Linked DNA regions of Arabidopsis thaliana. The protein of the gene in region 1 interacts with the protein of each later gene in a biochemical or structural test. Each region holds a gene or a part of one and is shown on either strand. Other genes may lie near its edges. The genes, in order: WRKY21 and CAM5.

Region 1 (5,078 bases):
TGATATTGTGTACACAATTCTGAATTATTTCAAAATTTCTTTGATATTCTGCACACAATTCTTTCAAAAATAATTCTTGAATTTGAATATTCTAACAACAAACTGAAGTACTTTTTTTTAGCTAAAGTGTATGCAATTTTATAAATAGATGTCCAATGGGCTATTTCCAGAACATTTTGGTTTGATAACAATTTTGGGCATATGTATGTTTTTTTCACATAAGTATAGTAGATAGTTGGACAATGTGATTTCTGTTACATATGTAAGAGACATCCATTTTAAAGTTTTGAAATGTGTTTTAATTTTATTTTGTAGGTTTCAACACCCACTTTTAAATAATCTATACTATTAATGAGAATGATCTTTTAGATGAGAATATTATATAAAATACATGATAAATGGAGAAGAAAAGGGAATGTAATTAGTGTAAGTGTTCTTTAAAAAAGAATGAGATGAATATTCAGATTAAATTTACCAAAAATGCGCTTAAACGTGTCAGATTTTCTCATTCTTTGTTATTATTTTACGCATACTTCTGATTTTCATCAAACTACTTAACATTTTCGGGATTAATGATAGGTTTACTAACTTAGTGAATTCTTATATTAGTACATAAGTGAGCACTTTGTAGACTTGTTGTCTATTCCTAAAATGGAATCTCAAACTCAATTTTGTCTTAAAATAAGTTTCATTCATTATGCTTGATACATGAATTCAATATTCTCTAAACTCAGAACAGAATCCAATATTCTCTAAACTCAGAACAGAATCCAATATTCTTTATCCCTAATCATCTTAGATTTAAGCTACCTTGCTAAATGATTAAGTTACTTAGCAACAATCTCCAAATTCTAACAGTACCAATCATAAAAGAAAAAGCCACTTGAGAAGAAAAAAAAGATACATAGCCAGAAACAAACCATTAAACTTTTAATCATTAAGACCAATAAACTTGAGAAACAGAAAAAGAGTCTTGACCAATCCTACATTTACCCCATATATAGCTCAAAATCCAACAATTGCAGCAAACTCTCACAAGCAAATCCACCCCAACAAAAGCACTTACCCCGATCCATATATCACAACATTGCAGCAACCCCAAAGCCGATCATCGCGCACAAAAGAGAACAACATACATGAGAAGGTTTATGCTGGACCGCAAAGATAAACGAGAGTTAAGTTGTTATAGCTTGAGATGGCAATTTCGGGTGGTTATGCTCTGCTTCATAAGTAACAATAAGCATTGCCGGATCTTCCAAACATCTCTCAACATGCTTCCTCGCTGGACAACCTCTCATGCTACTACATTTGTAATATCCTCTGCACACAAAAATCCAATACAACACTTCCTTAAAAGGACTCATCTTACTTGTGTCATCTCTTAGCCATTTTTAGACTCTTTTTTCTCATCAAAACTCAAAAGCCTTAATGTTAAAAGGATGGTTCTTTGCATGTGACATCAATCTTTATCACTTCTTAACATAACAAAATATGATCAAGAAGTGTATACCTGGGATAAGGAGAGCCCTTGATGGGCTTCTGACCATATTTTCGCCATGAATAATCATCAGGAGGGATATCTGCAACCTTGTTACTTATAGCCGGTACTCTAATCGATCTCCTAACCCGATGTTTCCTGTCAATTTCCCAATCAGATTAACTACACCATCTTAGTAAAGAGAGGCTATGAAAACGAAACAAAAATATGGAACTGACCTCTTCTTAGCGCAGTGGCATCGGCTAGAGCTCCCGCATTTTAAGCTTCCATGTTCATCTCCTTTCAAGGGGCATTTCCTCTTAGAATGTAGTGAATTCTGATCAGTTGAACTAGGAACCCCAAAATGGAAGGAGTTCTTTCCCTCTATATTAGCAACACTACCATCTATGCTAAGTGAAGAAACAAAGGACCTAGTGGATGACATAGTTGGAGTACAACTAGAGTTATCGAAACTCAAACTTATCCCACCATTGCATTTCCTAAGCATAAGCTCAGCTTGATGTTTCTGTAGCTGCTGTTGCTGATGAAGATGGTGAGCTTGTAACCGTTCATGAAACTGTTGCTGTTGCTGCTGCTGCTGCTGCTGCTGCTCCTGCTGTTGTTGTTGTTGTTGTTGTTGTTGTTGTTGTTGTACTGGAAACAAAGTAGGATAATTCGAAGGAGGCATTGTCTGCTGATTAAGCTGAAGGAGAGGAGCTTTAGCATTTGAGTTTAAACTAAAAGAGCGAGTCCCTAAAGTGAGTGAATCTGAAGGTTGTCTCAAGCTCAATTCCTGGAAACCAGACCGGAGTACCGGTGTTTTCTGAGAAGATGATGATGGAACTTCTGTTGTCCTTTGTTGACATGGATCAAGTAAGAGACTTTGAGAGACATGACTCTGAAGTTTCTTAGCTCTTCTAAACCTAGCATGACCAACACTACTGCTTAACAAACTCCCAACTCTCTTGAACCTAATCACAGCTTCTCTAGTTTCAGATACTAAATTCTTTTCAAAACCAACATGATCTTGTTGCTGTGATCTATGTAAAAGATTAAGAACTCTATGACAACTCTCAACAGCTGCTCTGTTTGTTCCTTCTATCTCCTCCATCTAAGAACCCTAATTTTTTCCCCCAGAAAACAAAACTTTCACTCAGAATACAAAAGAGAACAGAAAATGGGAGAGACCCAGATAGTCAAGTTTCAAGCTTACACAATCCCATCTTGAAGAACAGCTCTGAGTCTCTTATAAGAAGAAGATCAAGGTTAAAAAAAGAGAAGGAATTGGGAGATATAGAGAGAGAGGGAATGAAGAAGAGGGAAAAGTAAGAGGGGTTCCTTGGATGCTTGTAGAGCTAAAAAGAGGGTCAGTGTTAATGAGTTGTCAAACCCAAGATTCCTCCACCATCTTTAAAGGAGAGGTTCGAGAAAACGAAAGGTGTGAAAGAGAAGACTTTCTTGCACACACACACAGAGTCACTCTTCTCTTCTCTCTCTTTTAAGTTGGCTTCAGCAATCACTCAACCAAAACAAAACAAATATTGAAAGCATCCTTATGATTTTCTTTTTTACCCCAAAACAAACAACACACTGTGAAACAACAAATCATTTTATTATAAATAAAAAAAGACAACTTTATTTTTTGGAAAAGCAAAGAGAGGAAAAAAAGGAGAGAGAGAGAACGAAACCGGCGTCTGTCACAGATTCAGAGGTGGGTCCTACTCGAAGACTCGGGTCGTAATTATTATTTTTGCAGTTTAGGTTTTTCTTCTTTTAGTATAATAATAAAACAAATTTAATTGTTCTCTGACATAAAAAAGATAACTAATCAAACTTAGCATCATCATACTTCGGACATTTTGTTGACCTCTTTTATCTTTAAGTTTTTTTTGTTCATATAATACCGTATTGTTTTCTTTTATGATATAAAAATATACGAATGTTTCATTGTTATTCACGAGTTTAAAAAAAAAGAGAGAAAGTTAATTTCCAAGTTTTTGATAAGTAACTTGACAAAACAAAAAAAGTAAAAGAAAAAGTGGTACCAAACTTTTTTACGCAGTTTCTAACGGTTACTTAGTACACTTGAGGTGTCTTTTTATTCTACGGATCAATGATGTGTTTTTAAGCATAAGTGTTGCTAAATGCAGAAATTTATATACTAACAAACATTACATTTCCATTACTAGATATTGGAAATTTTGGTGTTAAATGTTTTGAGTATTATAAGTTTTCTCTATCTATTAATCTAACATTTTAGCATCCATTAGTTATGAAATTTCAATATATTATTGTTGAAGATTTTTTTTGTTATGTATAATGAATTATAACGTTACAATTAATAGAAAATCTATCGAAAATTGGCTTTTTAACATAAAGTAACGCATGTTATCATTATTAAGCGACAAACGAATTTATATTTTATATTAGGTATATGACAATTGGTAATGGACGAATCATACGTTACTTTTAAATTAGTAAGAAAGACATCGTCACGCCAACTAGTCAAGTGCGCTTGTTCTAGTAACGTATGTTTAGGGAACTAGCCACACCGAATCTAATTCACGTGTGGTTTTTGTGGTGAAAGATCGACCAATGGTTTAAAGTATTGTTGGTGGTTTAAATCTGGCTGAAGTAAAACCATATTAATACCTTACTATTGCTTTCTCTTGCGGTTTCAATATAGCAGTTTTTAAATAGTCCGCTTTCTAAATTAAAGTAACGCACATCATAATCATTAGGCGACAAAACAAAATATATATTCTACCATTATATACAAGACATTTGGTTATGGAAGAATCGTACGTTACTTTTGAAACGTTAAGAAAACATCGTTACATCAACTAGTCAAGTATTCTTGTTCAAATAACGTATATTAGGAGAACTATATAACTATGTCGAAACTAATTCACGTGTGCTTTTTATGAAAGATCGACAAGTGGATAATTTCTTCATCCAATAAACAAACCCAAAATTCTAACCCGGTAAAAGTAAAAACCTTATTAATACCTTAATATTGCTTCCTCTTGCAATCATAATGTAATACATTGCTAAATGTAGAAAAATATCTACAAACAAACACCACAGCGATTCCAATACTAGATATTGGTGACTTCTTGAGTATCATAACTTGTTTCCCATATATCAATTTAACATTTTAGCATTCAAAATTAGTTATGAAGTTTCAATTATTCTTGCTGGAGATAAATTTTATTTACTAGGCATAAATCAATCACAACGTGATATGTGCATGCTTAGTTAATAGAGTATCTATCGAAAATTCGCTTTTTTTAATTAAAGTAACGTATATCATCATCATTATTAAGCGACAAACGAATTTAGACATTTTACCATCATTTACAAGATAATTGGTGATAGACGAATCATACGTTACTTTATAGATAGTATAAAATAAAATTACGCCAACTCGTCTATTGCGCTTGTTTTAGTAACATATGTTAGATGAATTGGCCACGTTGAATCTAATTCATGTGTGCTTTTTGTAGAAAATCGACAAGTAGATAATTTATTCGTCACAATGACCCAAGATTCAAACCTAATTGAAATAAAACCCTAGTAGTACCTTATTATTGATTCCTCT
Region 2 (4,958 bases), 1.5 Mb from region 1:
CAAAACAATATACTACGAGACTAGACACAATAGTAGTTACAAAAAACTTGAAAGATACATATCCTCAGCAGAAACTAATTTCCTATAGTTTAGGAGAAAAAAACATACCATGCCAGCATGACGATGAACAGAATGGATTCTCCTGTTGGAACCTGGTAGCATCATCTTTGATGCAATAAGTTTCTCAACTCCCTAAAAACCACCAAATGATAAACACTTAGCAAGACCATTCCTTTATCAAAAATCTGCGTAAAATCTTACAAAACCCAAAACTAACAACAGATTCACAACATATCGAACAGGAAATGAAACTAAGGGACTGTAAAATGTGTCATCTTGGGTCAAAATTTACACGGTATATATTACATCAAATCTACAATTCTGATAACAAAAATGTGAATACTTCATTCCAAGGTTAAATCACAGCACGAGAGACTAAACCCACTGAAGAAAGTGACAAAGTAGTATAAAAATCAATAGAGGAAGGAGGAAGAATCAAACCATAACAATCCCATCTTTGCACTTGATTCCAACAACAGTCCTGCGAAGAAAAAAAAAGGGAAAGACTTTTAACAAACCCTAATTCGTGTCGATAACCAAAATCTCAAAGTTTTCAGAAGCTAAATCCGATCTACTAAAGGGCGAAGATCGAAGAAGATAAAGCCAACTAACCCACTGTTGTCGACAGCTTTAGCGGCGTACTCGATCTGGAAAACACGGCCATCGGGAGAGAAAGTGGTGACGGAGAGATCGTACCCAGTTCCAATGCTACTCATCTTCCTTGATTTTTTTTTTCTCTGACTCTTTTCTGATTTCTTCTTCGTCGAGTGATTTAAGCTGAGATCGAAGAAAGGGGTTTTCTTTGTTCTCAAGCCAGAGACAAGCCAAATCTTTGGAGCTCCGTCTGACTCCGGGTTGGATATTAAAACGATTCGGGTTGTTTTGTCGGGTGGGTCGATTCGGTTATTAACGGGCTTTATTAATATTATGATTTGGCCCATTCTTTGGTAATCTTTTAACGGTATCGTGAATATTTTTAAGTGATTTTCCTCTTTTGTATAATTTTGAATAATCAACCACATGAGGAAGAAAGAAATATTTCTCTTACTCAACAAAATATATGATCATACAACACTTCTTTATGAACTCACTAGAGGTAAGACTATAATATGCTCTAGCATTGGGACACACAAACTTTGGGATGCTCAACATTACATGTTTTTAAAACCAAGACAGTAAATTACCTATAATTGTGATGGATACAATAAGTTTGTTTTTTACTACATCTCTAGCCAAACTGAGAGACATAGTTGTGGCGATCAAAAAAGTATGACAGTTTTGCGAAAACTGGATCTTGTTTAATATCAAATCTTTAAGTGAAGGTCATGATGCTTAACTACCCATTAGGTGACCCTTCCAACAACAAAGTAGTGATTTTTGTCCTAACTCCTAGATGATTATTAATTACAAAAACAGTAAATAAAAAGTACTACTATTTCTAAATTTTCTTATAATGCTAAAACTTTTTCTTTGGTTAACTTAATTAAAAAGTAGTTTAAAATCCATGGTAAACACAAAGCTAAACCTTTTTTACCGTTTTATATCACTAGTAATCCCATTCTACCAACTCGTTGAATACTTAGTATTGGTACGCATGGTAAGATCAGTAACTTATATGAACTAAACCATTCAAAGCATGTAAATGGTTGTCGGCAAAACAACAATACTATTTCTTTTCACAAGGGAATATATACATCACCTCCCTCTTAAGTAAAGCTAGTCGAATTGAAAACACAATAAGGCCCAGTGGAGAACAAAACAAAAGAAGAATAAAAAAGAGAATCAGATTCGAAATTATTGTTATTGGGCCTAATGGGCCTTTTCTTTTTCCTTCTTTATAATTCCACACAACAATCCTCTCATTACACACACCAACGTTGATTCTTCTTCTTCTTCTTCTTCTCTCTTTCTCATCTAAACCAAAAAATGGCAGATCAGCTCACCGATGATCAGATCTCTGAGTTCAAGGAAGCTTTTAGCCTTTTCGACAAAGACGGAGATGGTTCTTCTCTCTCAGATCTTTCCTCTTTTGTATAATTTTCATTCATAATAGACTCACTTGCGTTTTTTTTGGTGTTTTGAGTATCACTTAGTCTTGGCTTTAGGAATTTGATGCTCTTCGTTGTCCATAAAATCTCTGGATATTCACATTAACATTAAACGCGAGATTTGATGATATCTTTATCGTTCGTTGATTATAAATTATAATCGCAATCGGATCTATCTCGATAATAATCTCTAACTTAATCGTGTTTTAGTCTTCCAGATTTTACTAATTGTGATTAGAATTGACACAAATCTTAGAATTCAATAATCGAAGTAGATTACATTGACATTTGTAGATTTTTTGTTTAATTGATTCAGTTATTTGAGTAGGTTACAATGAAATTTGAAGATTTTGTGTTCATTTGATACAGTTGTTAGAGTAACTAAAATGAAATTTGAAGATTTTGTGTGTTATTAGAGTAAATTACAATGAAAATTTGAAGATTTGGTGTTAAAATCTGTTACTGATTTGAGAGAAATGTGTGGTTTTGTGTTTAGGTTGCATCACAACGAAAGAGCTAGGAACAGTGATGAGATCATTAGGTCAAAATCCAACAGAAGCAGAGTTACAAGATATGATAAACGAAGTAGATGCTGATGGTAACGGAACCATAGACTTCCCTGAGTTTCTGAACCTAATGGCTAGGAAGATGAAGGACACTGACTCTGAAGAAGAGCTCAAAGAAGCTTTCAGGGTTTTCGATAAGGACCAGAACGGTTTCATCTCGGCAGCTGAGTTAAGACATGTAATGACAAATCTTGGTGAGAAGTTAACTGATGAAGAAGTTGATGAGATGATCAAAGAAGCTGATGTTGATGGAGATGGTCAGATCAATTATGAAGAGTTTGTCAAAGTTATGATGGCAAAGTGAGGAAACTATTCTCATATCTTTTCTCTCTTTTTCTTTCTTTCTTTTTTTGAATTGAACAACTCTGATTATTGCTTTATTCTATGTTTGACTGTTCATTATTATGCATTCGTCCCAAATTTCATGTTATGAACTATTTTGTGACTTTGGGTTAAATTATTTGTTTGGAAGTTTTTAGTTTATTTTATATTATGTGAAGTACCATTGTAATGGTCGTTGAAAAAGCTATCTCTTGGTATTAGTACTTTTTTATTTTATTGTATTTTATAGTTTGCAATGTTTGTTAAAAAAAAAAAGGGTTATTTGTGTGATTAAAATTTGTAGGAAAAATGTCTGAAAACATTATATCGGTAGTTTTAAAAGCTTAGAATTTTTTATTTATTTTTAAATTGTTGGTCAATTTGGAAATTCCCCTATTTTTTAGAGGAATGTTGGCAATAATCCATATAATTTGAGTCAAATTAAAATATGTTTTTCTTATTTTACGGTTCATATAAGAAAATAAGTAAACTGTTAGAAAAAAGTATTATCATTTGTAACGATTAAAACAAGAGATAAAATTTAGGAAATACGAAAAAGGGTTAAAGAAAAACATAACTTCCATTTCATTTTTTCTTTCAAAAGTTTTCAAGCTTCAGTTCTCTTTTTCCCCACTTCAACTTTCAGCTTTGTAAATAACATTCGTGTTTTTCTTGATTCAATATATTCTACATTTTAACAAAAACATATAAAAAGTGGTGTATGCATACAGTAGTTATTCGTGAGGTAGAACGTAATTGTTTAAATTAAAAGGCAGATATGTTTTGGGGAATAAAATCAAAAATGGATGGTAAGTAGCAAAAGCTAGATAGATGAAATGAGAATCTCCAAACCTTTAATTATGACTGAACTTTTTTGTTGGTAACCAGTATTTTTTATTTTTACTTTTTTTTGTTACAAGGCTTAGTTTCTTCTTTTTCTTTTAAATATTATCGAAAATCTTGATACCTAATTATTTTAAAATGTGTGTAATTTATTAGGAGAAGAGGGAAGAGAGTTATGGCAGCAAAGCGTAGTAGCAATTCTGCTGAATACAAAGAAAAGAATGGTCGCCGGAAAAGTCACTGCCGTATTCTCTGAGCTCCGACCATTTGCTTCTTAATTCCTTTTCTTTATATGTTTGTGTGCAATAAGAGATTTGTACCTCTCACACCCATTAAACGGATTTTAAATGTCATATCTTGTTTGAATATGTTAAATATTTACTATACTGTTATATAAAAAGTTTTAAAGTACTATCAATATAGTAAGTTCATTTAGGCATTTCCTATCTACCACAATGTTTAATTTTCGTCTACAACATACGCACACTTATCAAACTTGAATCCAAGTATATAGCGACAACACTAAATCCGAGTTATGATACGACGGTGGCACTAGTACAGAAACACTATCACAATGTTTTTAAGATATTAGCAAGAGAAAACTCAGAAAAGATACACGACCAATATTAGGAGACTTTAACTAATACTCTGGCGATCTAACTGTTATAATTTATCAGTTGATTTAGGCGTTAGGCATTTGCTATCTATCAACAATGTGGGCGGGCATATGGTCTAATTCTTGTGAGATGATAATACAATTAAAACAAAGAAAATACTTTTTTAGGAACTAAACCTAAACTTAAAAGTCTTTCTAATCAGTTGCTATTTAAGTATTTTCATAATAAATCAAGAAATGCAAATTGTACATGAATTCGAAAAGCCTCTCGTTAAGAAAACTTATGATTAAGAATATAATATCCAAATACTAGTTTATAACACCAAATGCATTGAAACACTTTGTGTCACTTAGCATCAAACATTAAACACTTATACCAATTTGAATTTAACATGGCAACAACCGATATCGGAAAACAAAATCCATCGCGTATATTAATCGGTTGAATATTTTGGTCAGATGCAACTAATTGTTCCCTTTCTCTATGATACTTCAATTTGTATG

What was found.
Region 2: the proteins of WRKY21 (region 1) and CAM5 form a complex in vitro, tested with the Arabidopsis thaliana proteins (one study listed by BioGRID).

Annotation. Positions count from the first base shown.
Region 1 is NC_003071.7:13,031,401-13,036,478, reverse strand, and holds WRKY21 (WRKY DNA-binding protein 21), read right to left. Parts: upstream 3,062-5,078; 5' UTR 2,589-3,061; coding exon 1,717-2,588; intron 1,637-1,716; coding exon 1,511-1,636; intron 1,321-1,510; coding exon 1,176-1,320; 3' UTR 682-1,175; downstream 1-681.
Region 2 is NC_003071.7:11,530,083-11,535,040, forward strand, and holds CAM5 (calmodulin 5), read left to right. Parts: upstream 1-1,884; 5' UTR 1,885-1,986; coding exon 1,987-2,062; intron 2,063-2,604; coding exon 2,605-2,974; coding exon of another isoform or gene 2,975-2,978; exon of another isoform or gene 2,979-3,202; intron 3,203-3,994; coding exon 3,995-4,094; 3' UTR 4,095-4,276; downstream 4,277-4,958. Other genes in the region: PAG1 (20S proteasome alpha subunit G1), read right to left, coding at 109-192, 502-541, 673-1,082. UniProt on the Arabidopsis thaliana protein: Calmodulin mediates the control of a large number of enzymes, ion channels and other proteins by Ca(2+). Among the enzymes to be stimulated by the calmodulin-Ca(2+) complex are a number of protein kinases and phosphatases.